4 linked regions of the Struthio camelus genome follow. The protein of the gene in region 1 purifies or fractionates together with the protein of each later gene. This does not show direct contact. Links are inferred from orthologs where the notes say so. Each region holds a gene or a part of one and is shown on either strand. Other genes may lie near its edges. The genes, in order: TNS2, DTNB, UTRN and DMD.

Region 1 (7,600 bases):
AACCAAGCTGACGGAGGCTCTGCTGGTATTTTGGAGCGTGGACTCGATACCCTTCCTCCGGCTTGGCGAGGAGCAGCGTGGCAGCAGGTGGAAGTGTCAGTTCCTGAAAGGTATCGGCATCCCCGTGGGCACCTTCTCTTCTCCCTCTTTCTTCCTCCTTGCTTATCCTGGGTATGAGGAGGTAGCACAGTGCTCTGGCATTTCACCTCCCCTCACCCAACATCTGCTTTTCCAGTGTCCCTTTCTTTGGACAAGCAGATGCTGGCAGCCCCTTGGCATAAGCAGTGCTCCCCAAGCCCCGAAATGCTTGTAGCGAAGTAGCCTGGAATTGGCATGATCTCAAAACTTGAAATGTTTTAGCAGAATTTGTCACCTTCACCAGATGTCCGAGCTGACAGCCAGGTCAGTGTCTACACGTGACACAGGGCTTGTGCGGGCCACAGGGGGACGTGGGGTCTAAAACGTAGTTGGCAATGTAGATACCTGCATTGTGATGTGGCCAACGCTCACCTGGCTTCCAGAGCATGTGCTCACGAGGCAACTGTCACCCTTTTTTTGGGGAGAGGGGAGGAGGAGAGACCTGCGTGCTTCCTTGCCTCTCTCCCACCAGAGCCACTGGCAGATCTCTTCCTGGTGTCACCTTCGTGCTGCTGAGAGGCTGCAGTGGCTGCTGATTAGTTATTTCAGTGACTTGGAGTTTTTTAGCTAGTTCAAGAAAACGTGACATCAAGGGGACGGCACGTACTGTAGGCAGGATATAGAGACTGTGCTTCAAATTCTGCCCCAAGAGCAGAGCTGGACTCCCACCGCAGTGTTGCTGTAGGTCTCGGTGCCGCAGGGGCTCTACTCAGAGATACTTAGTGCTAAATCACACCGGGGAGGGAGACAGCAGCCTGCTCCCACCCCTCCGCTGTCAGGACAAGTTCACTCATTGCATTTTACACGTTCTGAAGATAACATGTAAAATTTGTACAAAATATCTTCTATGAAAATGATTTGTAATCTGTAGTGGACTTCCTGGGAGATGTCTTTTATTATGTAAACCCCCCCACCTTGATTTGTTTTTGGGTTTTTTTTGTTTGTTTGTTTCCTCCAATAAAACTAATCTTTAAAATACCCTTTAATGCCCAAATCATTTGCAAGTCTCTTGCTCTGGTGCCGCTTGGCAGCGGGCTGGGCCCAAGCTCTCGACTCGCTCCTCTCCCAGAAGCAGAACCTCAGAGCTTCCTTTTAAGTCCCTTTACCCTGTCCTAAAGGAAGGTTCACTGGGCCCTGCAGGTGGCAGGTCCCTTGTCTCTGCCTGTGTCAGCACTGATTTCTTGCTGCCACCAGAGGGTGGCCTTAATCCAGCCTGGCCTGTCCCTAACCCTCCCTCTGCTCCTTGCAGATCCTGCCAGGATCCGGCCGCAGGCCTCTGCCGGTAGCAGCTCCCGGGCTCTGGTTAAGGAAGGCGACTCCGGCAAACCCACCTGGGCCAGAGAAGGGTCTTGGCAGCCAGGTCTGGCATCACGAGCAGCTTTGGTGCAAGCTAAGTAACATCCTTTTCTCCTCCAGGGCTGGTGGTGCCACCTCAGTCCTGGAAGTAATCCTCAACCGAAGGCCTGGATGCGGGACAGGCTCTGCCCTCCTGCCTCCCAAAAGGGATGTTGATCCAAAACATCCCCAAAGCCTTCTGGCAGCAGGCAGGAGAGAAGCGGAGGAGGAACCCAGCAGCCACTGTGTAAGATGCTCTGTGCAGAGAGCCCCAAATGCCAGCTCTGATCTCCTCTCCGTGGCACCGAGCCCGTCATCCTTCAGCAAGCAGCTCCCTGCAGACCGGTGAGATTCGTTAGCAGCTCCTCTGGGCGCGTTTCTGGTCTGTGCTTGCTCCTGCCAGAAATACCCCTGTAGACCGTGGTGTTTCTTCTGCTCCTCCTGGGCTGGGCGAAGATCACAGGCGTCACTGGTCCTCTCCCCTCCCGGGCGCCTGCATCTGCTCCTCTCCGCCAGCCCTGAGCGGGTTGACTTGTCTCCCAGTCAGCTGCTGCCTCTCGCTGCTGTCTCCTCCTCTCTCCGCTGATACGTTCCCACGCTGAGCCCAAACCGCCCCGTCTCCTTGTGAGCTCCACAACGTCCCTATGACCGGTTGGGACTTTGAGCTCTGGAGTGGCCGTGCTAAGCCAGCGCTTGGGTGCAGAGCACCCAGGGGCTCTAGTGCGCGGGGAGACTTGTCTCGCCTGGTTAACGGGCCTGCTTTTAAGCGAATGCTTAATTAACCCTGCTAGTGTGGTCGGCGCTCGCAGGGAGCAGAGGGAAATGAGCTATTTGATGCGATCCTATTTACGAAGGGTGCTCCGTTTAAACCTGCGGTTTAGCTGGTTCCTGACTGTGCTGGCTGCAACTATATAAAGCCGCTCAGTGTCTAGCGCGGGAGGGAGTCGCTCGCGGCAGTTCCTGCGGCGCGACCGCGGAGCCTCCCCCGTGCAGGCTCCCGCCGCTTGTTTGCGTTTCCGTGCGCTAATCGTGCTCTGAAAGGTCCTTCTGGGTGCTGCCGGGACAGGCCCAGGCTTGGGGGCCTCTGCCGGGCTCCTGTCTGCGCCTTCGCCCTGCGGCTGTTTATCTCGAGGCTGCTTGCGCCGGGCCCCGCATCAGCTCCTACCCCCTTGTGCAAACCTCTCCGCCTCCGCTTGGCTGAGCCGCGATCCCAGCAGCTGATCTCATTCCTGGCTCCCTGCTCAAAAACTTGATGGGATTAAGTACCTGTATCCGGCCTCTGTCTGGGCTTCCTATCTATAAGCTGGAGATGATAAGCCTGGGAAGATGGAGGTGGCTCCAGCTACTCCAGCAGTCGCGCTTTCTTGCTCTTTCTTGCTCAGAGCGCAAAACTGCAGCCGGAGCTGGTGTCGGTGCAGGACCTACCCCAGCCGGGCTCTCTGTGTGCTCCCCGGGCTGGAAACCGTCCCTGGGGCCGCTGCCTCCCTCCTTGCGCTGCTGCCCTTGCAGGAGAACACGGCCCGCCTTGTGGGCTCTGTTTCTTTAAAAAAAAAAAAAAAAAAAACCAAAAAAACACACACACCTTGGGCCCGATTTCAGATCGTGTTTTTGCAGAAGAAACCAACACTATCTGGGCCTTCGCGGCGTGTACAATCGAGGCTCTGTGTTCGCTCCTGGGGCTTGGACGGCTGCTGTGATGTTGGGGCCAAGTCTCATTCCAGCCTGCCCCGTTTGCCGTCGGGCTGGCCGGGGGCGGGAGGGCCCCGAACAGGGCTCTCTCTTCATGGGGTAACTCGTCCCGGCTAGCAAGGTAGCGGAGGTGGGGGGAGCGCCGGCGCGGGCTTTTGGGGCCGGGACGGGGTGCACCCGCTGCCTCTCCCGGCCCTGAGCTTTCCGGCCACGGGGGAAGTTTTGCCCGGTGGCCGTAGCGGAGCAGAGCTCCGGGCTCCGCTCCAAGGAGGCTTTGAGGAGCAGGAGAGGTGAACAGCCTTTGGGTTGAGGGTTTGATGAGTGCAAGAGCCACCGAGGAGGAGGAGGAGGGTGCCGAAGCAGGCAGGGAGCTGCCTGCTTCCCCCCCTCCCCATCTCCCTGGCTTTCCAGCTAGGCTGGAAAGACAGACCCGGAGGGCCAAGTCTAACCGAGGCCGGGGTGCAAAGAGGCGCAGGGACGAGAGGGCGAACGGGCTGGCGGTGGCAGAGCTGCAGAGAAGCAGCTTTTCCCAGGCGCGGGGCGAGAGAGGTGTGTGCATCTCTAAAGGCCTTTTTGGTTGGCGTCGGGTGCCCCTGAGAGGTTTGGGGTCACGCGAGTGCCCAGGCACCGGCTCCTCGGCCGAAGCAGCTCGCGGTTGGAAACCTGGAGCAGGTTCTCTCCAGGTAGGAAACTCGGGCCGCGGCACGCCGGGAGGCGACGACGCTGCTCCGAGCCGCCCAGGAGAGGGGTTTGCTGGCAAACCGTCCGCCCCGCGTCTCCGTCCCGCTGGCCACCTCCTTGGGCTTTGCCAGCTGCTCGGAGATGCTCGAGGACGTCAGGGTGCCGGGGAGCATCCCTGCATCTCAGGCTGTCGCTAGCCCCCCGACGAAGGGGAAACCCCCATCCTGCCTGGTGCATCCTCCAGCATCCTCGTTTTGGGGATGTCTTCGGTCAAGGTGCCCATCGCAGCGGGGTGGGGGGGGGACACCCAGGAGCCACCTGAGCCAGGGGACGGGGACCGGGATGCCCTTACTCGGCCACCCGCAAGCAAGCAGCCCCCCGCGGCGCCGGCAGGGCATCTCCCGCCGCGGAAGCACGGCCGAGCCGAAAAGTGTTTCCGATTATCCCCGCTCGGGCTTCCTCCCTCTCCGAAATCCCGGGCTCCGTTGGCCCGGGCTCTGCCCCCCTCCGCGGTGCGGCCCCTGCCGGCCCCAACACCTGCGCCCCGGGGACCGCGGGGCTGGCACCGCTCCGGGTGCCCTGGCAGAGGAAGAAGAGGAGGAGGAGGCCGCCGGAGGAGGTGGAGTTTTTACCGCGGTTTCCAAGATCCTCGAGAAGAAGGAGGCAAAAAAAAAAAAAAAAAAGCGCTCGGAAGGAGGGAAAAGAAGGGGAAAAAATAATAAACTGCAGGAGGCGGCGGCGGCGGTGGCGGCGGCGGCGGGAGGAACCCATGGGCCGGGGAGGAGGCGCCCGGTGCTGGGCACGGCCCTGCTGCGCTCTGCCCGCCGGGCGCCAGGGCGCGGGGACGCGACGGCCGCCCAAGGTGTGTTACCCCGCGGGGCGAGGAGGACCCGAGGGTGCCGGGGCGGGGGGGGGTGCCCCAGCCGCAGCCCCGGGTGGCAGACGAGGCCCGGAGAGCCGGGCCACCCTGGTTCGGCTGGCTGCAGCCCTGAGGCCAGGGGGATGGTCGCCCTCCTGCCGCCAGCCGGAGGAGGGATGTCAGTGGAGGTGAGGGGAGGGGGAAGAGCCGAGCTCTTCCCCCCCCCCTCCACCTCCCAGCTGTGATTTCGGCAAGGCCGATCTCACGGCGAGAGCCGGAACCAGGAAGAGCCGGCCGGGAGCGAGGCTGGCTGCTGCGCAGCTGGGCCGAGGCCCGGACGCCTGGGTCCTCCCGCTTCCTCCCTCCTCGCTTCCCTGCTCCGTGCCTCGGTTTCCCCGGCTCTGTCTGCTCGCGCTGCCTGGCGAGGGGGTGCCGGGCAGCTCCGCAGCCCCCGGCCCCATGCCCAGGGCCACCTCCTCCCCAGGACATGGTGGGGAAAGGGGAAATTCCCCCAGGAAAGCTGAGAGCGGGTGCAGCTATCGCAGCCCTGCGTCCCAAACCCAGGGCCTCCGTCCCACACCCTGTCCCTGCATCCTAAACCCCATCCCTCCACCCCAGCCCTCCGTCCCATATCCTGTTCCTCCATCCCATACCCCAACTGTCCATCCCAAACCCATCCTTCCACCCCCAACCCCATCCCTCCCTCATACCCTGTCCCTGCATCCCAAACCCCATCCCTCCACCCTATCCCTCCATCCCATGTCCTCTTCCTCCATCCCTAACCATCTCCCTTCATCCCATTCCCCATCCTTCCATCCCAAACCTTCCATCCATCCCATCCTTCTATCCCTAACCCCACCCCTCCATCTCATACCCTCTCCCTACATCCTAAACCTCATGCCTCTACTCCATCCCTCCATCCCATACCCTCTCCCCGCATCCCAAACCCCATCCCTCCATCCCATTCCCTCTCCCCACATCCCAAACCCCATCCCTCCATCCCATTCCCTCTCCCCGCATCCCAAACCCCATCCCTCCATCCCATACCCTCTCCCCGCATCCCAAACCCCATCCCTCCATCCCATTCCCTCTCCCCGCATCCTAAACCCCATCCCTCCACTCCATCCCTCCGTCCTGTACCCCATCCCTCGACCCCGTACCCCATCCCGCACCCCATCCCTCCATCCCTCCCTGGGGCGAGGACTCTGCAGGGCAGCCCCAGGGTCCCAGCTGCCCCCACCAGGAGTCTCAGCCCACCCATCACCCCCTGCCACCCCGAGGCGGGACGCCAGGGGGATGGGCTCCGCACCTGGCCCTCCTCTCCCCCAGGGCCGCCCCGCAGGGCACCTAGCCGCGGCTGCGCCTGGCTCCGGGCCCTTCCCCTGCGGCCACCGGAACCCAGCAGTCACCGTCCCCTTCACGCCGCCTGCCCGCCCGCCGGCCCTTACGGGAAGCCCTTCCCCAGCCGCCTCCTTCCTAGAGTCCAGGCGTCCCCGCACATGCGGCTCGTCCCCCCGCAGAGCCTCTTCCCGCCGGGACACCCCGGCGCGGGGCCCGTCCTCCCGCCACCCGCGCGCCGGGCTGAGCCCCAGCAAACTCAGCCCGCTGGTTCCACGGGGTCCGCTGCCAGCTTTGACGGGCACTTGGCGGGGGAACAGGAGGGTCACAGCTCCGGGCGGCACTGCCCGGCCCCGGCCCGGGCGCAGGCTGCCAGGGACGGCGGAGCTATAGGGCCGGCGCCGTACGGCCAGCCGGGAGCGGGTGCTTACTGGGCCAAGTGGGTGAGAAACAGGGCTGTACAGGCCAATGTGGGTCTGTCACTGTGCTATATGGCCCAGGGCCCTAGGGAGCTATATGGTGCCTATAGAGCCCAGGCTGGATGGTGCAGGGCTGTAGGGAGCCCTATGGCACCTATAGAGCCCAAGCTGGATGACTCAGGGCCGTAGGGAGCCCTATGGCACCTATAGAGCCCAGGCTGGATGACTCAGGGCTGTAGGGTGCCATATGGCACCTATAGAGCCCAGGTTGGATGGCGCAGGGCCGTAGGGTGCCATATGGCACCTATAGAGCCCAGGCTGGATGGCGCAGGGCCGTAGGGTGCCATATGGCACCTATAGAGCCCAGGTTGGATGGCGCAGGGCCGTAGGGTGCCGTATGGCACTTATAGAGCCCAGGCTGGATGGCGCAGGCTGGGGGACCCCGTCCCCCTCGCTGGCGGCAGCCCCTCGCCCCCGTCCGTGCCCCCCCTCCGTTAACCCCGTCCTGCCTGGGGCCGCAGGGGTTAACGGGCCGCCGGTGACCCCCGGGGCGGCGGCAGGAGGGGCCGGGAGCGGGAGGGAGGGAAGGAGGGAGGGAGGGAAGGAGGGAGAAGGGGGGAAGGAGGAGGAGGAGGAGGAAGCAGCGGCAGCCTCGCCGCTCGGCGCCCGGCCCGCCGGGCCGCACCGGGGGGTCCCGCTGCCATGAAGGTATGAGCGGGGGCTCCAGGCCAGACGCCTGGGTCCCTCAGCCCCACCGCTGCCCCCGGCTCCCACGGGTGTTTTTGGTGGGGGGGGGGATTCCGAGCCTGGGGAGTGATGGGGATGGGTGGGGAAACTGAGGCACGGGCGGAGGTGGGGGCGGGGGAGGGGGGGAGCGAAGGCTCCCTGGGCGGCCGGCGGCGAAACGGAGGCAGCGGCGCCATCAGTGTCACGACAGCGCGCGGCCTCAGCCGGCCGCCGAGCGGAGCGGGGCGGCGCGGCCTCACCCCCCCCCCCCCCCCCGCCGTGGCGGCCCCCACCGCGGCCTCGGCGCACGGGAAGCGGCTATTGTGTGTGCGGAAACCGGGGCTGGCCCGGCCGCCCGCCCCCGGGGTCGGCCCGCCCGCCCGGGTGCCGCCGCGCTCCGCTCCCGCTCCCGCTC
Region 2 (7,155 bases), on another chromosome or scaffold:
CAGGCAACAATGTCATTTAAATGGTGATTCTCCAGTAACACACTACATGTTTAAGCAGATACAAGTTTTTTCTACCTAATTTTATCCTTCATATTGGTGGCTAGTTGCTTCTACAGACTTGATATCTACTTTATCATTCTTCAAAACATCAATAGATCAGCAGTGCTTAGAATTAGCAATACACATAGACCAATGTGAATCTTACAGAACTGTACTACATTTTTATACTCTTTAGCCTATGCTACTGTATGCTAACTATATAACACATGCTATATGACCACCCTATGCAAAAGAAGTCGCAAGTCCATGCCCTATGGTTTTTATTGCTATAAAAAGGGCAGTAGCAACACAGATCTAAAACTGTCAATCCTTTACACTGTCAACAGAAGAAAGACCTTATATATTCACAAAACTTCAGGTTTGGACCTGAGGGTTTCCCTAACAGTAAGCCAGAAGGAGCTTGTTGGACTTCAGTTATAAAGAAGAACTGAGATAAAATGATTAAGGCGGTTTAGAAAAATAAATATGCTTGATGATGCTTAAAAATCTTAATCATTTTGTTGCAAAGTTCTAATAAGAAAATAACACTGCGCCATATCCATCTTGCCAAAGCAGTATCATGTCTCCAAAAGCAGCCCAAAGTAGATGTCGAGGGAAGAATGCAAGACTGGAACAAGCACACAGTTAAAGTTTCCTGAGAATACACTTTCAAGGTCCAAAAGTTCGCAACGCCAAGACTTCCAGAGTCAAATTGATCCTCTGGAGTTAGTAACCATCCACAGCTTTCTCCTCCATGAGCCTATCTGCCTGTCCTTCACAACTTGTAAACTTTTAATGTCCACAGCACTTAGCAGCAAGAAATTCCAGAGCATAAAACCCACAGTTCAACAAATCACCTTCTTGCATTCTTTTGAACCTGCCTTCTCCCATCAGATTTTGAAGTCACACAGTTCTTCTATGGGAAGGAAAAATGGGATGGGGGTGGGAGAACCACCACTATCCATCCTCTCCATGACATTTATGACTTTATAGATCTCCAGCATATCTTTTCCCCAGCCCTCTCTTCCATGCTGAGGGATCCCAGTTCATTTCGTCATTCCTTCTACTGAAAGCGCTTTATGCTCCAGTGAGTCCAAATCAAAACATGCATGCCAGGAAAGCTGAAAAGATAAGGAATGAGCCAAGGAAAGGGCAAACCAAGAGGTGACTAAAGCAATTCTGGTGCACATAACTAGGAAAAGCCTAGGACAGGAAAACACAACAGACTGAACAAGGAGGTGAGACAGAAGTGAAGACTAACACACCGGATTACAACTTTGCACAGGAATGACTGGAATGGTAATGAGTAGCAAGGCAAAGCACATGAATTAGTATTTGACTTGGACAAACTGAAAGATGAGAGGTAAGGATTAAAGGTTCTACAAATAGCAGAAAATACAGCTTTTCCAAAATACAGTAACTCAGAATTTAAATTTTCCTATACCAATGGAATATAAAAACAAAATGCATTTCATTTCCCTTTAGCTGTTCATCCAGAGAAATGACAGCAGTCACTCCATTAGCTCCAGTGCAACATGGAGGTGCAAACAGATATAAACATTAGAACTTTACAGATGATGACCCATGCAGAAAGCAATACGGATTCAGAAGATGAAATTAGGAAGGAGTTTTAACATGAAAATTACCTTAACTATTAGCTCAGATTTTTATAAAAACAATGATAAACACTGCATCTCAGTGCGTGTGAGTAAAGGGAAATAAATGGTCAGGACTGAAAAGGAAGCATTAAAATCCTAAGGTGTTTGACCTTTAACCTTAACACTCCTTTAAACATAGCTTTAAATTGTATACACCAAACCCAAATGTGCCAGCTAGTTTTCTGGGATCCTGACCAGAGTAAGAAAATGCCCGATTTTCATCCATTCCCGAGCCTTGACAAACCTTGACAGCACAACTACTTTCTATATGGTAGACCTGGCAACTTCCTACTTCTTTCCTTACTCTTTCTGCCACCTTCCCTTCAAGGGCTTCAAAGGTAAAATTCATCAAGAAGAATATACACATTAAGATAGTCACATTTTGGATTAATAATGTTTAATCAAAGAATCTGCTTCCTTCCTTCTCCAATACTAAAGCAACACTGAATTCTAGAATAACTACACAGAAAAGCCAGGTTCCCACAAGGGCCCACACATCAAGAAGAAGCCTCACCAGCCAGCAGAGCCAAATTCTAAAAATAATTCTAATGAATTGGTCAACCTCTAATGAGGTTGAGAGAGGTTATGCTCTAAATACTCTTAAAGCCAAATTTTTCAGAATAACAGCAAAAAATGCAGTACTCAGTCCTGCTTTCTGTGTGGTTCTTCTGCACGGCTCAGAAATCTGTAAAATTCCATTTTGCACTCTTGGAAACTTGTAATTTTTTTAATATGAACATAAGAGAGACCACAGTAGATTGCACCAGAAGTACGGTTCCTCACCATATCCTTCCGATTGTTTTGGACTCATTACTGCCTAGTTCCATTTCATGCTGGCTCCTGCCTCCACCCACTTCTGGGCTGGAAGAGACATGAACAATACTCAGTCATCTCCTTTCCAGGCTGAAGAATCGGGAGACGATATAACAGTTTTTCGTACAAAAACTGCCCTCCTACTTTTGATTATCCTTATCACCTTCCTCCATATGTTTTCTAGTTCTGTTATCTGCTTTCAGAGATGAAGGAGAAACAGAACTGTACACTATATTTGACATAAGAGGCATACCACTGCTTTACAAAGTAGCAGTAATATTGTTTTATTCTTTTTTTAATATTTCTTAATAATTCTTAATATTCTATTACCTTTTTTTGACTACAACTGAGCACTTGCTGATGTTTTCACAGGACGGTACCAGAGCATCAGGATAGTATTCCTGAGGGGCAACAGATAGCTCAGAGAACAACAGTAGATATGTAAAGTTAGGATTGCCTGTTTCTCCTCTCCGTTCCCTCACCTCCATTTGCATAACTTTACATGCATCTACACTGGCAATAAAGTAGCAGATGAAATTCAATTACTAATTGAGTCCTTCTAACATTCTTAACGGTTGGCTTGCATTTTTAATGATGGTTTCTTTCAGCAGATGTCTCACTATTCACCCTCTGTTCATTTATCATTTAAGACTATATTGCTGTTTAGTACAGTGATGGAATGGAGTTAACCTAAGAACGCTGAGACTAGAAGGAATTGATCTCTAACTCATTAGTTAAAGTTGTCTTCTGCAAAAGAACGTAATCTTGCTCTTAATGTTTTTCTGACCTCTACATTACTGAGGCAATTTTACCAGTCCCCTTCTCCTGCCACAGAATTTTCTGAAATAAAAATCTGTATTCTGAGAGCTAAACAAACCTACTAAGACGACACAAAAGTCATGCTCGAACTAAACACTGTACTTGGAACTGAAACTAAACAAATTCAGAGATCTACACAGTGCTTCAAGTGAGAGTAGCAGGTTTTTTAAACATATAGAATTGGTGCAAATATAAATAATTAAATGGTAATACTGGGATTTCATTTCTTTAGCTTTTACACCACTCAGTTCAACCCAAGGCTCAAATCTCAAGTGCTTAGAGAAACATGCCTGAACATAAAACATCGAGATTGCCACTAATCTTTTAAAGGAAGGGGAAAACCTGAAATCTGATAAAGATGCAAATTTCACACACAAGGGTGTTTCGTGATGAACATCCGTTTTTGTTTTTCCAGCAAAACGTTTGATTTGTACTTTAAATAGAAAAGCAGTACCATCAACTAGCTTCTATTCATAGTGATGAGAAAGTGAGTTTATATGGTCTGTTCTGGTTGATTTCCACGGATATTTCTTCCTCAAAAAGCCTTTTCTAATATTTAATAATCTGGAGAGGTCATTTACATTATGAATGCTCTTGATTCACTTGAGGATGAGGACTAAGAGTAGGTTCAACCTAATGCAATTTTTTCCTTAAAGGTTGTTAAAACCAACGCAGTTGAGTTTCTGCACCTGAGTAAAATTCTTCTAGCTAGAAGTCTCCCAAAGTTTCAAGGATTCTGGTAAGCATGGAGAGCTGGAAGTAAAAATATATTCCACGGGTTTTGGTCTTCATATCAGCTCTTGCACTGATAGCATGGGCTCAGCTTACATTCACCACCTAAGCCAGAAGCACAGAAAACTCTTAAAGAGTGCACAGGTGGTCTGCTCAAGTCTGACGCAGTGAAACATAGAAAACTTCTCACTGCAGTGACAGAACAGTTCTTGAATTAACAGTGAGAACCATGCTAGATCCATAAAATACAGTTTTGCTTTATGTCAGGAGGCAGTAATTTTGTTGAAGGCAAAGAAGCAAATCTGAAATCAGTAAGATGAACCCATTATTGGAGGAGCTTATCTTTTATCTGTAAGAAATGTCAGTACAGTTACTGATACTGTCTATAGCCCAGAAGGCTTCACAGTGAAGTACGTTCAAGTTCAAATGAGAAGCAAAAGCATCAGAGTTGAACTCACTGATGAAGCCAGCACCTAAAACTGAGCGGATGTAATAAGACCGCATTTCCTGATTTATCTTCAGTGATATTGAAAGTAAGCTAAAACCTGCTCCAGTTTCAATTAGTTCTGTCATAACGTATGTGTTCAGCTAACTTTTCTCTGTATTCAGTTTTCAGATAGACATTATGAGGCTCTTGAAAATTACCAACACACTGTGACAAGATAACAGTCATATATATATAAAAGTATGATAGAATATATATGTATATTTGTGTGTATACACAAATACATTATACATACACACAGACAAATGTATTTTTTAATGCAATAAGGTAAGGTAGTCCCCAAGGCCCATGGTAAATTTTAGTTCAAGATGCCTATTATTTTAATTCATAATGTTGAGACTTAAAGGGGAATTATCTATCCTGTGGTAAAATAGTCATTAAAAAACAAAACAAAAAAACTCCAAACACAATGTGATTCTTATTTGATAACCGTATGGGGGAAAAAAAAATCTTTAAATGTTATCATTTTTCACCTTGAAACACAAAAAAATTGTAAGATCGAACACCTTCCAAAACTACAGTTGAGTATGTTTAGTGCAAACCTTCAAAGAGTTTACAATCTTTCCTCATGCATCCAACTTCTCCCTCTTTCATTAGCTACCATATTACTATTTCATTGCTTCATCGAGTAATCCATATGACAGAATTCATATGAAACCTTAATTTACAAATGTCATTCCAGTAAAGGAGGATACTTCTACACAGTCACTTTCACTATCTGAAATACCTTAAATAGCACCACAAATATTAACATATTTCAGCTTTACTCCTCTTTCTTCTTTTCCTATTCATATTCCATTCTTCTGTTCTACTCTTCTCCTTTCTCTTTCTCTTCAAAAAAACTCCCCCCCCCCAATACATGCATGCCATATGTTTCCTATGCTTATACCGGGCTGAACAGAAAAAACAATACATAAAAAAAAATAAAATCTGAAGACTTCCCCTTTACTTGCTTTCACAGCTTTAGCTGCTGATGACTCTGGACTACTTATTTCTGTGGTTTTTGACTACACTTAAAACTTAAGCACAAAAATGAAGTAAGCAAGTCACTCTTAGAAGATTGTTAGGCCAATACTACAGGACCTATTTTAAAAGGTTTCGCTCTTCTTGGAGCTCATCAGCTGTAGGTAACGGCCTAAGTAAGCAGATTTTCCTCTCCAGATTAACGGGAGGGAGAAAGCGTATTTAACTATTGTCAGCCAATGTAGCCTTTGTTCTTGCACTAATGATAGCCACCATCTCAAAAGCCATGCTTTCTCTTCTTCCCTAACTACTATCATATTGACTTCCTACTACTTTATGAACTACAAAATTTACTCTCCCATTCTAGTTTCTTATCTGCAGTTTCAGGTGTTTGCTCACTTGACTTTTGATTATTGTAATTTAGACACTGCTGCCTCATCAGCTAAATAGGAGAACACAGAAATACATGCTTATTTATGAATTATTAAGTTTGAGTTTGTTCAGATTCTTGATGTTACATTGTACTCGAGGAAGTATTTGGCATCTCTTAATATGACTGCACTTGCTGTGTTAGGGAAAATTCTACTTATACTTATTTATATTCAGAAATAACTTGTAATTCAGTGAAAATTTAGAACACTAGTTTGGGGCACATCTTGCTCTTAAACATACTAGTTACAGTTAGGGAAGCTTAATAATTTCCTGTCAACCTTCAAATTAGAAGGATCTCACGTCCACAGGCTGTTTAAAGAAATGAAGCTTTCATCCCTTGTCAGTTCATTCAGTTTTTAAGATTTGAATGAACCTGCCATTGAGCTGAGGATATTGAACAAAAATTTACAGCATATTTACAGCATAACTGTACTTGCGGAAAAGGTTCTGCTATCACAGCTGGTTTAGCACTTGTAGTTATTTGTTCTGGGCTTCTAAACATGTATGGCTTGAATTTCCATTTAATTTAAATCATTTTAAATAGTTTCCATCTTATCATAAATGTTCTAGTTCTAAAGTTTACAAATTAAGTAATTTATGACATAAAGGGGCCTGTTTTTTAAATAAAGTGGGTCTAGGGTGAATAAAAATGCTGAAGTATTTTTTAACTCTTCCTTTACTATAAATTTGAACAAAGTCATAAAGATTCACTTTATTCCCTCACTTCCTTCTTTGCTCACCCCAATTATCTGATGCTGTCTTTTTTTTTTCCTCCGATTTCTTCATTCTTCATCTTCACTTTGTTCAAATTCCCATCTCCCCTTCCTCAGCAAACATTAATATATCTAATTGAGTAAAAGTAATCCTTCATTCCCCTACGCCTCTCACAGGGAAAAGAAAAAGAGGTCTAGAGGTTATATCAGGGAATAGCTAACACATTTAGACCAAAACTTAGAAAGATGATAGTGGAGAAGCCTTCACACTTATAAAAGATGCAACTAGACCAACAACATCTCTTTAAGTATACTAGAATTTCTGATAATTCTTCTAGTTTAACTAAAATTTCAAACTCTGTACCCATAACTGTTTGGAACAAACTGAAACAAAAGAAAGGATTAAGAATAATACTTTTAAAACATTACTTCTGCATACTACCACAACGTATGGTAATAATATGCGGCTTCTAATAGCACA
Region 3 (7,887 bases), on another chromosome or scaffold:
TGTGCATGCAGTACAGCGTTTAGGTGGCAGCGGAGGTGCATGTTTAGGTGGCATACCTGACTGTAGTAGCTTGTACAGGAGTGGCTGTTGAGCGTGTTCTGTGGTAACAGTGTTATTTCTGGAGTCCTGCCAGTAGGTGTTGGAACACCTCCTGTTTCGCTTGCAGCCAGATGAAGTCAGACTTGAAGTCAGATTGAAGTCAGACTGAGAATGGCTCCTCAGTCTGTCCCTCCAGCAACAGAACAATATGCACTATTAAAGTGGCTTAGATATTTGAAATTGTAAACAGCCAGCAAACCAGCAAGAACGGCTGCTCAGATGGCTTACAGACCCATCCCATCCTTCCCTCCGGGAAGTGGGCTTGACAAGGAAAGAGGAAGTGATTACTCCTATTCCTGCACCGTGGAATTTGGGTGCACTGCGACTTAGTGGCCGAGAGCAGGTGCAGGGCTCCCATGGAAATAAAAGTTCATCAGTATTACATCCTAGCATGCAAAACACTAATGTTAGGAAAAAGGTAGGTTAGAGCCATGCATCTGCTGTCTGTTCTCTATCCCGGATTCATCATGACTTAACATATTTCTGGAAGATTTTAATGTGCTCCAGAAGTTTTCTGATTATTTACATTTGAAATATTTCCCCCCCATCCCTGGATATAACAGAATAACTTTGAAAAAGCGTAACTAAAACTGTGGAGACTCTTGAAAGGTGTCATATTTTGTTTTCTATGATTACTGTTGTTATTTCTCTTGCAGATGAGTCAGTTGGTTAGTTGCTGCCGCACAGCCACATAGGTGCTATTTTAATAGAACCAAATCTGTCGAGCACAGTATTACTAAAACTCTTTGCATGCTGAGCCTTTTGTGCAAGCATTAAGATGATATTTGTATGTTATCCATAGAGCTCTAATAGCTGTAATACTTGAAACAATGTGTGTTCTTCTCCCCCCCACTCCACCCCACAGTAGCAAAGGCTTAACTATTACTATACTGTTAATTCACTTTTCAAAAGAATGTTTCATGCTGACACAAACCTGCTGTGTGAAAGAAGGTTTCGAAAGAGATGCTAGAAGTTCTTTGTTATCCATCCAAAGTTGTTGCTGCTCTGGGTTTTCTGGGAGTAGGGGGTTGAATTAATTACCAATTTCCACCAAAATTAGACAGGCACTTGAAACATTACTTTCTGTTTCAGTTCCTGTCGCTGCCTTTTCAGCATCCTTCTCTTTAACATTGTCCTCTAAGCTCTTTTATTTGCTTACTGAAGTTCCAGAATTGTTTGATCTGCTAATTCAAAACGTGTTTGTTGGGCCAGTGAAAAAAATCTTGTCATGTTGTTGTGGTGAAATAAAACCTTGTGAATAAAATTATGGGTTATTAATATCACACAGCATGAGAAATGCTTAACTAGAAGCTCATTATAGCAGTGTTATAAAGTGGAGGCCTAGAGAGGTAGTATAAAAACCTTGCAGAAGAGCATGCTCCTTCTCTAGGAAGGAACAAGTCCTTGGCTTTAGCATGACGAACAGGGGAGGAAGGTTATGGAGGAACTCTACATCTACTTGTTCTTCTCCTATAAGAAATCTTATACATTTTTTTTTGTTTGTTTTCTTCCTCGGTAAAACAAGCCTTTCTTTGCAGACTTGTCTGGATGGGTAGAAGTTCAGAGAAGGGTTAACCCAGGCCTACTTGGAATGAGGCTACAAGAAGGGAGGCGGTGAAAAAGTAGCCAATTTCCTCTTCACTGAGTCAAGGCATTAAAGGGACTTGGAAAGCTCCCAGGACCAGAAAGCAAAGAAGAGATGGAAACCAATCGTATTCAACACTGTATTGTTTACAGAGGATTTTATAATTAAAGGATGTTGCCTTCCACTCCCATTATTGTTTGCAACTGTGAACTTAATTTCGTTTTGGACCTGGTGCTGACTTCGTGTCTGCTGGGACCAGGATAGAGAAGTGATCTTATGTGTTTATGAACTCACCTTCAAATGACCAGATGCAATCGTTTTTCTGTTTTTCCTCTACTTTTTCTCACTTTCCTATTCCCTATTTTATGATCTGAGCTATTGATATATGATGTTTTCATGTATTAAGTTTATAATTCAGGTTCTTCTAGAAGAACTGAGGTGCCATTTAAGCTGCAGTCCTTCTGAAAACTTGAAGTGACTTTTGTTTTGTGTTGGCCCTAGCCTTGTTCTTCTCCATGCTTTGTAGTATGCAGGTGAATATTAAAACATATGATTTCTGCTCACTAGGCTTTTACTCAGCCTTCACTCTACTTTTATTTTTCCACTGTAGTTTCAGCTGGTCTGTTTGGCTGGTCTTTTTATCTTACATGACGGTAAGAAGGCTAGGGCAGGCAGCCAGTTGCTGTTGAGCTATAATAGAGGCAGTGGTATGTACAAAATTTCATTACTGCTGTCAACACCAGAGTGAATAAAAGAAAGCACATACTCTAGACAGAGAGCTGCTAAATAAATCGCCTATTGAATTCAGTAGTGGTAGGAATGAGACCGTCTTCCCCTAATGAATGAAGTGTTTTATGGATGGTATGTTGAACTCTTGCATTTGTTTAAAAAACTGAAAATCCTCTTTTGCCTTCTTCTAGGATTACTTTCCCCATGGCTACCACTTCTCTCTTGCTTATCAGTTCTTGTGGTTAACACATGGGTTTCACATCCAATACATTAGATTATGGCAGAGGCCCAAGCCTCACTATTAAAAAATATTTCTGCCATTCTAAAGCTAACTTCTTTATGGATGAGTTCTGATGTGAAACTAACTTATACCCATAATTCTGCCTCTATCTGAATAAGAAATTTATTTTGTTCAAAAAAAATCTTTCATAAAGCAGTAAATGTTCTCAATGTATATTATTATTAAAGTGTTGGATTTTTGAAGTAAAACTTGGTGTTGGATGAAACCAGTTTCACTAAGATGTGCTATCGAATTACTGCTGGTAAGAAAAACTCAAGAGTTCAGGTTCTGTGAAAGCTCTCTGGTGAATTAACGTTTTCCCCTCATCCCCTCCCTGCCCCCCCATGCCTTAATACTGAAATTCCAGGAGTAATGAAGGCTCAGAGGGGTACTCAGTGTTGCTCTAACTTCTCTTACTGACTGCACCATCCTTTATTAAGGAATGGAAAGGGTGAAAGTGTTGTACCAAAACAATTAATTCCTGAAACTTAAACAACATAACCTTTAGTCTTGGCAAGTATCCGATGAGCAGAGTCTTAATGTGTTTGTGTATGGGGCTTATTGTTCAGTAGGCAAGGGCTATGTGCGGTAGGTGAGATGAAACGTTGGATCAGCGGAAGGGCTGTCTCTTAAGGAACGCAAATCAGTCTCATTAGGACCTGAAGAAAGAGTTTAGGTGCTGTTTATAATGTTTAGCATATGTACCTGACCTCCTGCTAATTTTGATTCTATATTCCCTAGAATTGGCAACATCTTTTTGTTGTGTGCTTGTAAATTGCTTGAACCAACAAGGTTTGGATTTGTATTTGCCATTGCAAAATACATCATTGTTGCTTGTTCATAAATATCTTTATGTGAATCCTGGTTTTAATATTTTATTTCCCTTCCCTATTGCTCGTTTGTTGTACAGGCCACAGAAAAGTTTGGATACAAATGTCTGGTTTAGCCCTGTGTATGTATGGCTGTCTTTATTCATGGAAACAAGACGCTTTTGTGCAAATGTTTCAGGCTTCAACTATGAAGAATTGTTAAAATAGAAAAATCCAAAGTAAGACCAACTAACCGAAAGGGGTTAAAAGAAAAATCTTATCTTGAGCTCTTCCCCCCTCCCCCACCCCCCCCAACCTTGCCCTCAGTGTCTATCTGGTATGTGACACAGTAAACTTTCCCAGCTGAATATGCATAAAGAGATAAAAGCAGAATTTAGAACAGTTGCCTTACAACACAGTGCGCCAACACAGATAAACCAAATAGCATCCCTGTCTTACTGCTTTTGAAAAAATTCTATATGTAACTCTTCTCTGGTTGTAATGCTTGTACTTCCATGTTATTTTTATTCCTGCCTTGCATTACTTTTTTTGTGACTAGTGGAAATCTATACAGTTTAATATCCTAAAATGGATCATTTTGAATCGCATACACTTCACAACTACAGGATTAAAAAAAATCTCAATTTGATTCTAAAGTTGACAACAGGATATTGAAGGGGGAGGGATTGGTTTTGCCTTCTGTCATCATGGTCAAAGAAGTTTAAAGGCCTTCTTCTAAAATAACTGACATACCCTTACATTATGCAGCTTCTGCCTTACTGTACTGTGGCATGTTTTGTTTGCAATTACTGCACAATGGAAATTGCATACCGAATCAGAGTTTGTAACTGTTGCATTGGCATAGAGGTTTATCTGCAGATCTTGCTTTTTGTGCTGAAACCTTGCATTACAATTTCCATGTGCTTTGTTAAAATACCAGTAAAAGATGTGGATACTTACCAGGATTGATGTTCTGTCAAATGCGTAGAAAAAGTGTTGCAGTAATATTATAAGCTTTTTGCAGAGTTACTGTTAAATGCACAGGAAAATTGCTAATGTATTTCCTACTTTCTGTACATAGAAACTTGTGAATGCTTTGAAAGCCTAGAAGCACTCAATTTTCATAAAGATGGAGAAAGCGAAGTGAAATAGTCATCTGTGCATTTTTCTTTCTTTTCTTTTTTTTTTTTTGAAACTGTTAATTAGCCTTAAGTCTATTGTTGTTTATTTACAGTCTTTAACTGTAAAAAGTTTGTTTCCTGACTGGTTTGTCAGTCACTCTATGGCTGAATATGTCAAACTCTCTGAGGAAAACCAATGCTTCCCTCCCCCTCAAATCCCAGCATGCACTTCTTGTGTGGGTATTAGTGTGTACTTCCTCTACATCTTCATTTTCCTGTTTCTGAACAGTAAGCTTGGTCATGAATGTTCAAACAGCCAAAAAAGCTGTATGGAAAAAGCACAAGCTTGCTATGCCTTGGAATACTGTCACACAGACTTGTTATCCTCCACCGGGTGAGTGCATGTTTAAATATGTTTTCAAGGCTATGATGGATAAAGGGATCTAACCATGTGCGTCTGTTTTTGTCTTCTATACCTGATGCAAACTGCTTTTATTAACTTGATTCAAGTTTGCCGAACCTAATAGCAACAGGTTGTCAAAGACGTGGTAAGAAACAGTCCGAAGGAGAGACCGTTTGCAGTCTGTTTTTTGTGGCACTCCTCCATTGCGAGCTCTGTACTAATTGTGGCTGTTTAACATCTACAAGAGGCACTTGGTAGTGCTTTTGTCGTGGGTTTCCTTTTTACATAAAGGGTATTATTTTTTTTCCTCCACAGTGATTCTGCCTACTTCTTCATTTTTTTCTCCCTTTCTAAGAATAGGTTCTTAAACAATGGAAACATGATATGACAGCATTGGAAGCCTTAATGTCCCTACTTCTCTGAAACTGTACATCACGTCAGTGATTTCAATATTTAATTGTATTTATTCTCTGCAGTTCTGCTTACTATACTTCCTGAGACTGTTGGATGTACATACTTATAACAGTTCCAGCCCCCCTTACAGTACAGCATATGATCATGGTGGGATTTTTCTTTTGAGTCAAAACTGGGGAAAGGAGGGGTGTGTGTGTGTGTGTGTGTGTGTGTGTGTATCTGTTCTAAGTTTGGAATGTCCTGGGAGCAATATTTCCTGTAATTTGGAAAGAATTTTTGTGGGGCTTTGAGGAAGAAGAAATTGGGAATGTTTCTCTTTCCTTTTCTTCATTCCGTCCCTTCCTACTCACCCTGGTTGAAATTTCATGGGCTCAATATTCATCTGCTTCATGATGGCCAGGGCCAGATAAGCTAGATTGGCATGATGAACAGGATTTGAAGATTCTGAATACTTGTGAATATGCCTTAGAGACACAGTAATTGACAAATAGGGACTGATTATTTTGTGAATTGGTGTCAGGGCTTCATTGATGCAGAACCTACTGATCAGTAGATTTATTATTATTATTTTTTTTTTTGAAAAAGCTATAGTCTGAGTATAGGTTTATAGAGCAAGACAACAATTCACTTAAGCCTTAGAAGCAGAATTACTAATTTTAAATAGAACAAAATGATGCGCTGAGACTCTAGTCTTACTTATGCTTGCTTCTGGTAACGCTGAGGTGGATTTGGAGATATGCCAGTTTATATAAGATCAGAAACTTTTCCTTTAAGGGCCAATCCAAACGGTTAAAGTTGAGAAAAATGTCAAGAAAACTCATTACCATTAATGGATTTGCTTTTGTCAATGAGTTTGCAGTTTTCACTAAAAGTACAGGTCAGAGAGCCATTTGATGTTGTTCAGAATCTCTAGCATGCGTTCAGCCTGCTGGTGAGATGCAACTTATTTTAGTTGACTCTCTTTTTAGAAGGTTGGAACTAGGAAAATGTCAGTATGCTTTTTTTTGTGTGTTATTTTCTATTTTTGTTTTTAACCTGGGCACATGTTCAGAAGAAACATTTGATCTGTGGTGTATGTTGTTTCTTTTTGAGAACTATTTCTGGGATTTTCTTCTTCTTTTGTAGAAGTTTGTTTTTTAGGGGAACTTAATCTTGGGAGAGGAAAGTAAGTGTTTTAACCAACCATACAATTAATTGATGAACATTAGGGTTGTGAAACCTTTAAAAAGTTTGTCTGTGGAATAACAGGAGGTGTATCCTTCTGAGCCTTTCCTTTTCAGTCCTTCAGGTATTTCTAGTAGGTAAGTGTCAGTGGGTGTACACAGCTAAGGCTGTGATATTTGTTTGTGTGTGGATGATTTATTGTAAGGGTGCCTGTTAAAATTGGGGCCAGGCTAATATATAAATTTTCCTAGGTAAGTTGCAGCTACTTGCTTGTTCAAGTGCTTTATATGCATGTGCAGATAGCACTTAATGGCCAATTCTTAAGTCCTGTTTAATTCTCTCTGAGCTGAGAGCTCTCTGTTTAGAAAAAAAAGATTGCAATATATCAGCCACAATAGAAGTGCTTTTAAGCAAGTGGCAGGGTTTTTCTATGAAATTCCCTGCATTATAATGTTCCTAACTTATCATAAACTGTAGGACTATGATCTGCTTTTTGAGGGCACTCCCATGCTGTGGGAATGACTCTGTTCTTCCAGGCAAAACCTTTCCAGCATAGCAAGCATAGCAGTATTTGACTTGATTTGTGTGTGTGCTTTTCTTTTTTTTGATTTCTTTCTCCCTTAATTGCCTGATTGTTCAGATGGATGTCACCATGTCGCTTGAGGGGATGTTCCTTACCGTGCTTTAAGGGACTAGAAAAAGATGTCAGTTATATGAAACCTTCTGAAAGGGGCTGCCCTTACAGCACTGTTTCTATAAAATGCCAACTCTTGAAGCCAATTAGGCGCTCTACGGTAATCGAATAATCTTTGTTGGCATCTTAGCAGTATACCACTGCTTATTTATTTTGCTAATTTTTCACGTAATTTTCAGCAGAAGCAAAACAAAGCAATTCACATTGTATTGCAAGCAGATTATTGTACAAAATTCCCCTCTCAATTGATTAAAATTATTGCTATTTTTTATAGCAATAGGAAATAATGATAGTGACATGAGGCATTTTGCAAACTAATATTTTAACAACGTCTCTTTTGAATTTGTGCATTTAGCTTGTATTAGCATTTCCTTCTAGCTCAGATAGCCTTGCTTTGGAAATACCAGGAACATTAGACTATAAATTAAAAACTTCCTTTCAGGTGGGAAGTAATTTATCTGTTCCCACAAGATATATGCAGTGAAAGCAGGTTGGAGTTATTTTGTCATGAGGCAAAAAGCTATTATAAAAATAAATATATTGTTTGTGTTCTTGTAAGCAATTGTGAAGCCCTGAGTCGGCTGATTTG
Region 4 (7,583 bases), on another chromosome or scaffold:
TAACAAAACTTTGCAAAACTTCTTATGATGTTAAGCGTAACTTGGATCAATCTCAGTCTCGCTTGGAAGGTTGTTTAAGAACACGTTCTTAGACAAGTGTTCTGAGCTTTCAGTTTATAGCAAAACTGGAACTTAGGTGAATTTTCATATATTAGGCATTTAATTAAAACAAAGAATATGACTTCTACCAAATATTCGAATGGAATATGGTGTAGATAAGTGAAAAGTTTGAAAATAGTGTAAGTTTCAGGTCCTCAGATTGCTGTCAGGTGCCTGCTAGCTGACCTCATGCATGCACATCCGGAAAGTCTCTCTCTGGTCAACATAGAGATCCTGCTGAACATAGAGATCAGGCCTGTCAACAGTCCCATTAGAGTCCCAGGGTTTGCAAGACTCTCTGATGAGATGATGGTTGCACAGGGGTTTTAGTTTCTGGAGGCACAACTTTATGTGCATCATTCATTTTCACAATTTTTTATACACTTCTCTACGGCAGTTTTAAAAATCTTGAGCAAAGCCACATGTACTATAATTGTCAGAAGGCATCCTCACTAAACTATTGAGATAGAAATAAAAGTGCTATGGGCTCAAACCTAATGGAAAAGTGATCCTTTATGAACAGCTGACTTTTATCATTATATGTGAGGAATTCTATAATTAATAAATAATGAATATAGAAGGCAAAATTATAAGAATTATAATTAATAAGAATTATTAATAAGAGGAAATAATTAATAATTCCTGCCTGTGTAGTACAAACAAACCTTCCGATGCTCCCTCTGGAAGTGTTTATTAATATAAACATATCTAATACATCATTAAGGTGTTTTCTTGGGTGGCTTATTGAACAAATTAGTTATTTATTACGGGAGGGGTGAAGTAGGTAAGAATACCGGTAAACAGCGAAAAAGCAAAGAGAAATAGATTTGCTACCAGGAGACATATTAGCACAACAAATGAACATTTTTTTGCCAGATAAAATCAGCATTCATTTCATATCAGAGAGTGCATCATGTAGAGCATGTGAGGCTGAATTGAAGGTCAAGGCCAGTCTGCTTGCTTCATTTTTCAGTGAACCATTACCTCCTTGTGCTTAGTTGGAGTCATTAGTACCTCCAAAGAGGAAAACTAAAGAGAGAAATGGCAACAAGAAGAGATTCTACAGGGTATCATAGTTATCACTGTAATGTGCACACACAACCATAATCAAACTCACACACACTGAATAAACCAATTAGTCGCTCTAGTAGCAGTGAAGCAATTAAAATGTATAGACATATCTGCACCATAAGTTGTAGATGGACTAGGAAAAGAGAGGGGCTTTCTTCCTTTTTCACCCCTTTGTCAGCCAAATAGACTGGAATTTCTCAGCCTGCTGAGTTCAATACTGTAAAAAGTAGAATTCTAGTTGGTCACTGTCATTCCACTTGTCATTTATTTCTGCTTTAAAACTGGGGACAGTGCTGTATTAGAGAAAAAAATACGTATTTGTGTACTGAGGAGTCCATGTCGATGGAAAGCTGCAGTCGAGCTTTCTCTCTAAAGCAATTGATTCCATAAGGGTGGGTGACTATAATTGTAACTAGATTCAGCATCTGCATAGATATAATAAGCAGGAACCAAAACTGTTGTTTTCTCAGACAAATGCAGAAAAGCTAGACCAAAGCCAGCTATTAATCCGGCCTATTAGTATGTGGACGGAATGACTGATACTGGTTTCTCCTCCCAAATTCTCCATTTGTCTCTGAACTCTTTTTCTATACAGATCATGTAAAGAGAAGATGCCCATACTGGTATATTACAGTTCCCTTCTCCAAACAAAATTTTTTTTCCTCTTTTTTTTCCAGGGGCAAACCCAGCTCTGATCTGAAGAGGAATGGTCTGTGCAGCTAAACTACAGGATGTTGATTGTACGCTGTGCTGGAGGGCAGTAGTATTAAACAATATACCCTGATGGATCCTCCTTGTAATACCATGCTTATCTCTCTGGAAATGTTTTTCATAATTTCTTTTTTGTCCCCTATTAGCCATGCCCTCCTTTTTGTACTTCCTTCTAAGGGGCTGGTTTCTGTAGTGGGAAAAGATTCTGCTAAAAATCTATATTTATGATGCTGCTATACCAGATACCCCCATTCTCTTACCAGCGTTATCTGGCTTATGTACCTACAAAGTATTTTTCCGAACATGTCCATCTCTAACCTTGCATAGCTCAAAATTCGTTGAAATAGAAATCAAGTCTGCAGTGAGTTTTTACTTGTCTTATCATTGTGAAAAACCTACCGCACAATTACAGGCTATATGAGCTACAAACTCAAACTTTTCTTTTGTGAAATAACATTTAAATTCCTTGCTACTGACTCTGTGGTTTAAAAATCATAATGCAGTGTGAAATATTAAGCATATCCTTTTATATACTTTGAATTTATGGGGACTTCAAAGACAGTCCTCATTTATTGCCTGGTTTGTTTCACTTCAGAAATGACTTGAACTGTGAACAAAAAGGAAGTGACAATATTTTCAGATAGGCACTTTATAGTTGTGCACTTTGCAACTATACGATAGGACTGTCTCTGCTGCCTTGCATGCAGGATTAGCTTGTTGATATGTGCTGCTACAGACAGAGGAACAGATGCAGTAATTCTACTTTATTTACATGAAATCTCTAAAAAGACATTTTCTGGCAGCATGCTAGGAATAAATACGGTATCAAATACAAACTGCACCACGTTATGTGAGCTTATTCAGGTGCCAGCTGTGCCATTTAGATACAGGCTAGAGCAGGCAGTCGAACCCTAACAGCAGAGCTGGGAGGTCTCCCGCGCTCGGCACCCACCGGTGCCAGCTCATTCCCAGCGCTGCCTGTGGGGTCGGGGTTTGCACCCTGCTGCTGCCCCGTGCCTGTGGCCAGCGGCATGTCCAGGCTTTGCTGCTAACCTCGGGGATCAGCTCTGCAAGCAGCGCAGAGGGATGTGCCCTGCGCCGCCCTTGGGGAGAGCGCTGTTGAGGGAGGCTGAGAGGTAGCTATGAGACTTCCTGAATTGTTTTTAAAAGTAGTGAGAGATTCTCTTGCCTTGGGGTTGTGGGTCCCCCCCCCCCAGACTTTCTCTGATATATAGCTCTCCTAAGCTCATGTTTTCTAGCTTTTTTTCATAGCCTTTGGGTACTTAACTGAGAATAGGAAATTGTGGGGAGGAAGGGAGCAAAGCGGTAGGGTTGGAGGGGAAAGCATGGAGAAGCTAAACACATCTATTGGAGAGAGGATTTTTTGTTTTGTTTTGTTTTTAAGAAAAAATGAATCTTTTGCGCTAGGAATGCGAGAACTGGTCCAGAGCTGGATGACGCAGCGAGGTAAAGCTCCTTGTGAGGGACTGTGCCCTTTCCCCTTCGTCACTCCTTCTTTTGTCATTGTGTAAAGGCTGGGGAGGTGAGACTCTGGTGTTAGTCCTCCTCCTCCCTCCCTACTTCGCTTAAGTAATGTATTGTGGCCAATCAGTTGCAGTTTTAAAAAGCCTTTTTTTTTTCCTGGCTTAAGCATTCAAACTTTTCAGTGTAGTGTTGGGGATGTTTATTCAATCTCTGTGCAAGCAGATGCATTAAAGATGAACTGCCGTGACTCTGAATTTCAGGCAGAAGCGGTGGGAGGAGACCCAGCTAATTTAACTTGGTGGATGATTGATGTCTCTTTGTCAATTTGTATTAACACTCATTTGAAATCCCTGACGCAAGCCTGCTTCCCCCCTCCCCCCCACCCCGACAGGAAATATAAATAGAAAGACAACAGAACAGTCCTACCCCTTTAATTCCCAGTACTCAGAAGCAGTTAAGTGAACTCTGTCATTATGGAGTGTCCTCCACAGCCTGGCGAAAAACAGCTTCTGGCAGTGTTCTTGCCACTTTAAGAATATCAAGATGCTGTAACAGAGCTATCCACTTACTGCTAGAATGTATAAAACACAAAAAAGGGAAAGTCACCTACAGGTAGATCTAGATATATTGCTTAAAAATCTCCTGTTTCTTCATTAGACAGCCATTCACTGCAATGAAAGAGAGCTAAATATAATTTGTCGAGGTGTAGCTCTGAAAGCCACGTTTAAAATGAAACAGTTGAGAGCCTGAATGCACAGTACTGTTATTCAGAAGTAGCTTTAGAGCAGAGAGTTTCAATGGGAAGGTGCTGTTTAGTTGGACACAAATCAGCAAGCATTTAACTGAAGTGTGAATAAACCAAGTGTGCATGAGGCGCAGTGCTTTCTGCAAAGACGAAATGCAAAAATATTAAAAAAAAATCTTTAAACACTTGCATCAGCCTTAGAGGACGGTGTGAGCAGCAGGATGCGAAACCGATTTGCAGATGCACTCTCTTCAGGCAGCGAGAGTGCTCATTAAATGCAAGATGCTTCTGGGGCTCGCGCGTGCACACGGAGGTATAGGTTTGCAAGACTGACGTATCAGATAAAGTCAGAGTGGTTACCACACCGACGGAGTAGCAGCTGCATAATAAATGATGGAGAGAATCATGTTAGGCATGCCCACCTAACCGAACTTGAATCATGCGAAAGGGGAGCTGCTGGAATTCAAATAGACTTTCTGGTTCCCAGCAGTCGGCAGTAATAGAATGCTTTCAGGAAGATGACAGATGCAGGGAGAAGATGCTGTTTTGCACTATCTTGATTTGTTACGGCAGCCAACTTATTGGCATGATGGAGTGACAAGAAAAGCAGCTGGCATGGAAGGTAGGCTTATCAAAGCTATTGCATCATTATGAATGTAATTAGAAAGTGACCATGACAAAGCATATGTTAGAATGAGCTGCGGCTGACGGCAGAGGATTTGTTGCTGAGGTCTTGAAACTCTGGAAACAATGTTCCTTTTGCAAAATGGATTTTGTAATTTCATTTCTGCTTGTGTTACTTTTTTCTTATGCTCGCCTCTAAGCTCAGGGAATCCCTTGCCTGAAAGAGAGCGTTATGTTAGGATGAGGTTGAAGACTAAAGTCTTTTCTAAGTCTGTGAAGCCTCAGGTAGATAGAAACAAACAGATGTGAAACAACACTGGCAAAGGCTCCATATGATTTACCAGCCAGCTCTGATTGATGTATTGGCATATTGAGGAATCCCACGGAAATGAAGATGCATGTATTAAATGTGTTGATGTAATGAAAAGATACTACTGCAGGTTTCTGCTTTATAGTTACTCTGACAGGTTTTATTCCCCATCAGTTTTTAGCTCTTGACATTTATTCGGTTGTTCAGTATTATATAAAGAAAATACATCAATATCTCCTGCAGGGTTTTTCAACAACTCTGGCATCTGTTTCAGCTATTGAACTGTATTCACGTTTTGCCAACTTGATGTCTACCCAGCTGGTCTATCATTTCTCGCTTGATTACTGCTCTTAATTTCTCTGTATCAGCTTGTTTCAGATAGGATTTTGAAAGCTGTTAATGAGAAATGACGGCAACTGCTAAATTATTGAGAATTGGCATATTGTCTTATTTTTGAAACATCAGAGAGCAGTTTTGCATGTATTTTATTAAATTCATATTCCATGTTGCAGTAATGTTTTCATATAACCACTACATTTTAGCCGTGAATACTTTAAACCAGATGAGTCATAAGTATAACTTTAGACTGCCTGTTTTAAGAAAGTTTGAGATCATTTAGAGGTGCTTACTTTGGTCTAGGTATCATCTATATATATGTTCCTTCATTCTGTCTGTCTCCCCCCACCAGCCCCCCAACATATATACTCCCTCTCTGTCGTGGTGAGCAATCCTCAAGTGTATACTGTACATATTGAAATATATTTTATCACCACTAGGGTGAAACTGCTAAGCAGTTCTGAACAGGTGATTTGAACAGGTTTAAAACAGATGTCAGCTGTGTCAAAGTGGATTGTTCTGGGTCTGAAAAGGAAAAGTGCTGTTTTGTGAGAGTAAGGCAGAGGCTTATTTTGCTTCACCTTTGGAGGTACAACAACCATTCAAACACTGCTTGATAGCCCCCAGGAAACAATCATTGGATTGGATTATTTTGTAATACAATGTGCTTTCTGTAGACGCTCTTCATGCTTAGGTATATCTTTTTTTTTTTTTTTTCCAAAATGATATTCAAAAAATCTCCTATCACACTGGATGTTCACTTTCTAACTTTGTTTTAAATTACTTTGCTGGCTGTAAGCTAGGTAGTCTTGCCAGAAGAGAATCGGGCTATTAAAGGCTAAGTGTTGCTGACTAGATCTATAACAGTTTTTAAAAAGATAGGTGTTTCTAGATACACAGCAGTGAACCAGCCTTTAAAAAGTTTGAAAATAAAGATCAGTAAAACTATACTCTTAGGCAATTTGAGCATTTTTGTGCTTTGATCACCTCTGGGAGGCATTTTAAATTATTTTATAACTGCTAGGAGGGAAGAAGTGCTTATTAATGGACAAAATCACTATCAGGTTTGTATAGTCACCAGTAGTTCTATGATTTTGATGATAAAAACTATTGTTATGCTATTTCAGAGAAGTTCTGTTAGGTTCAAAGGTAATTTGTCCTTCTTGTTGATTATAAAACCATAGAGAGAATAACCCATATAAGCAGCTTAAGTGTCATTTACCTTTTCAGGGTAGCAGTAAAACCATTTTATATTGCATGAGGTATACTTCTGAAGCTGTTGGTTGTTCTTTGTCACAAGACTGCTGGCTGGCTATCATCAGACGGTAGTTATTTTAAATATTATTTTGCTTGTGATGACAGTATCATAATTGCATGCCATCTGTGGCCACCATCCAGCTGAAAAGTGATTTTATAGTTTGCTTCTCTTTTGTCAATAGTAGTTAGTTTTAGCTTTTTGTTTCGCTGATGAATTAAGAAGACACTAGGTGGAGCTAGCTATTGATTCTAAAGAGAGATACAGTAATACAGGCCTGTCTAATGAGCAAGCCCGTGTATGTAGTGATTATTATAAAATATAACAATAAAAAATAGGTAAAGCTTGGAGCTGGACCTTAGTCATGAAATTGGAGACCTGATGGCGTTAAAGGAAACGACTTCACCATTTTTCTTTCTTTTTATTATTTTATATCAGAGATGATAATAATAATAAAGCATCTATATTCAACAAAGAAGGCTGGGAAGCAAAAGAAAGGAAATAAAGGATGAAAAGAGGAGAAAAGCAACAATAGGAGCCAACAGATGCTTTCATTGCAGATACCTGCAGAAATCCAATCGTGTATCTGTCTTATTTTAGTCTGTTGCATGTAAATTTTTCTCTCTTCTTTACATATAAATCCCTCTTTCCTGTCTTCCTGATTTAATTTATATAGCTGACATCTGTCACTTTATAGTTAGCTATGGGACCAATGTTTTGAAATCATTTCTTGCAAGGGTGATCTAAAAGGTGTGCAGGGGCACAGGAAGTTGTCACTCACATGTTGGTTAGCCTTAATTAGGAAATATGTAAAAAGTTATTTATTGATAGAGGTGGAAGCTGATTATTTGCACTCCTAAATATTATTTTAGTTATTAAACCTTCAGTATAGGATAAGGATTCTGTAATCTTAGGTAGTGTAATCTTACTTTCATGTCCGTTTCCTG

The links.
Region 2: the proteins of TNS2 (region 1) and DTNB purify together in Homo sapiens (affinity purification with mass spectrometry; 3 studies listed by BioGRID and IntAct, with this or other methods). This does not show direct contact. The link is inferred for Struthio camelus from reciprocal best matches to the Homo sapiens genes TNS2 and DTNB.
Region 3: the proteins of TNS2 (region 1) and UTRN purify together in Homo sapiens (affinity purification with mass spectrometry; 4 studies listed by BioGRID and IntAct, with this or other methods). This does not show direct contact. The link is inferred for Struthio camelus from reciprocal best matches to the Homo sapiens genes TNS2 and UTRN.
Region 4: the proteins of TNS2 (region 1) and DMD purify together in Homo sapiens (affinity purification with mass spectrometry; 3 studies listed by BioGRID and IntAct, with this or other methods). This does not show direct contact. The link is inferred for Struthio camelus from reciprocal best matches to the Homo sapiens genes TNS2 and DMD.

Annotation. Positions count from the first base shown.
Region 1 is NC_090969.1:1,672,022-1,679,621, reverse strand, and holds the start of TNS2 (tensin-2), read left to right. Parts: upstream 1-4,588; 5' UTR 4,589-4,612; coding exon 4,613-4,705; intron 4,706-7,061; exon of another isoform or gene 7,062-7,161; coding exon of another isoform or gene 7,162-7,167; intron 7,168-7,600. UniProt on the Homo sapiens protein: Tyrosine-protein phosphatase which regulates cell motility, proliferation and muscle-response to insulin. Phosphatase activity is mediated by binding to phosphatidylinositol-3,4,5-triphosphate (PtdIns(3,4,5)P3) via the SH2 domain.
Region 2 is NC_090944.1:1,498,303-1,505,457, forward strand, and holds the start of DTNB (dystrobrevin beta), read right to left. Parts: upstream 3,014-7,155; 5' UTR 3,005-3,013; coding exon 2,841-3,004; intron 2,559-2,840; exon of another isoform or gene 2,481-2,558; intron 1-2,480.
Region 3 is NC_090944.1:84,645,741-84,653,627, reverse strand, and holds the start of UTRN (utrophin), read left to right. Parts: upstream 1-4,881; 5' UTR 4,882-4,923; coding exon 4,924-5,017; intron 5,018-7,887.
Region 4 is NC_090942.1:130,523,268-130,530,850, forward strand, and holds the start of DMD (dystrophin), read left to right. Parts: upstream 1-4,576; 5' UTR 4,577-4,636; coding exon 4,637-4,733; intron 4,734-7,583. UniProt on the Homo sapiens protein: Anchors the extracellular matrix to the cytoskeleton via F-actin. Ligand for dystroglycan.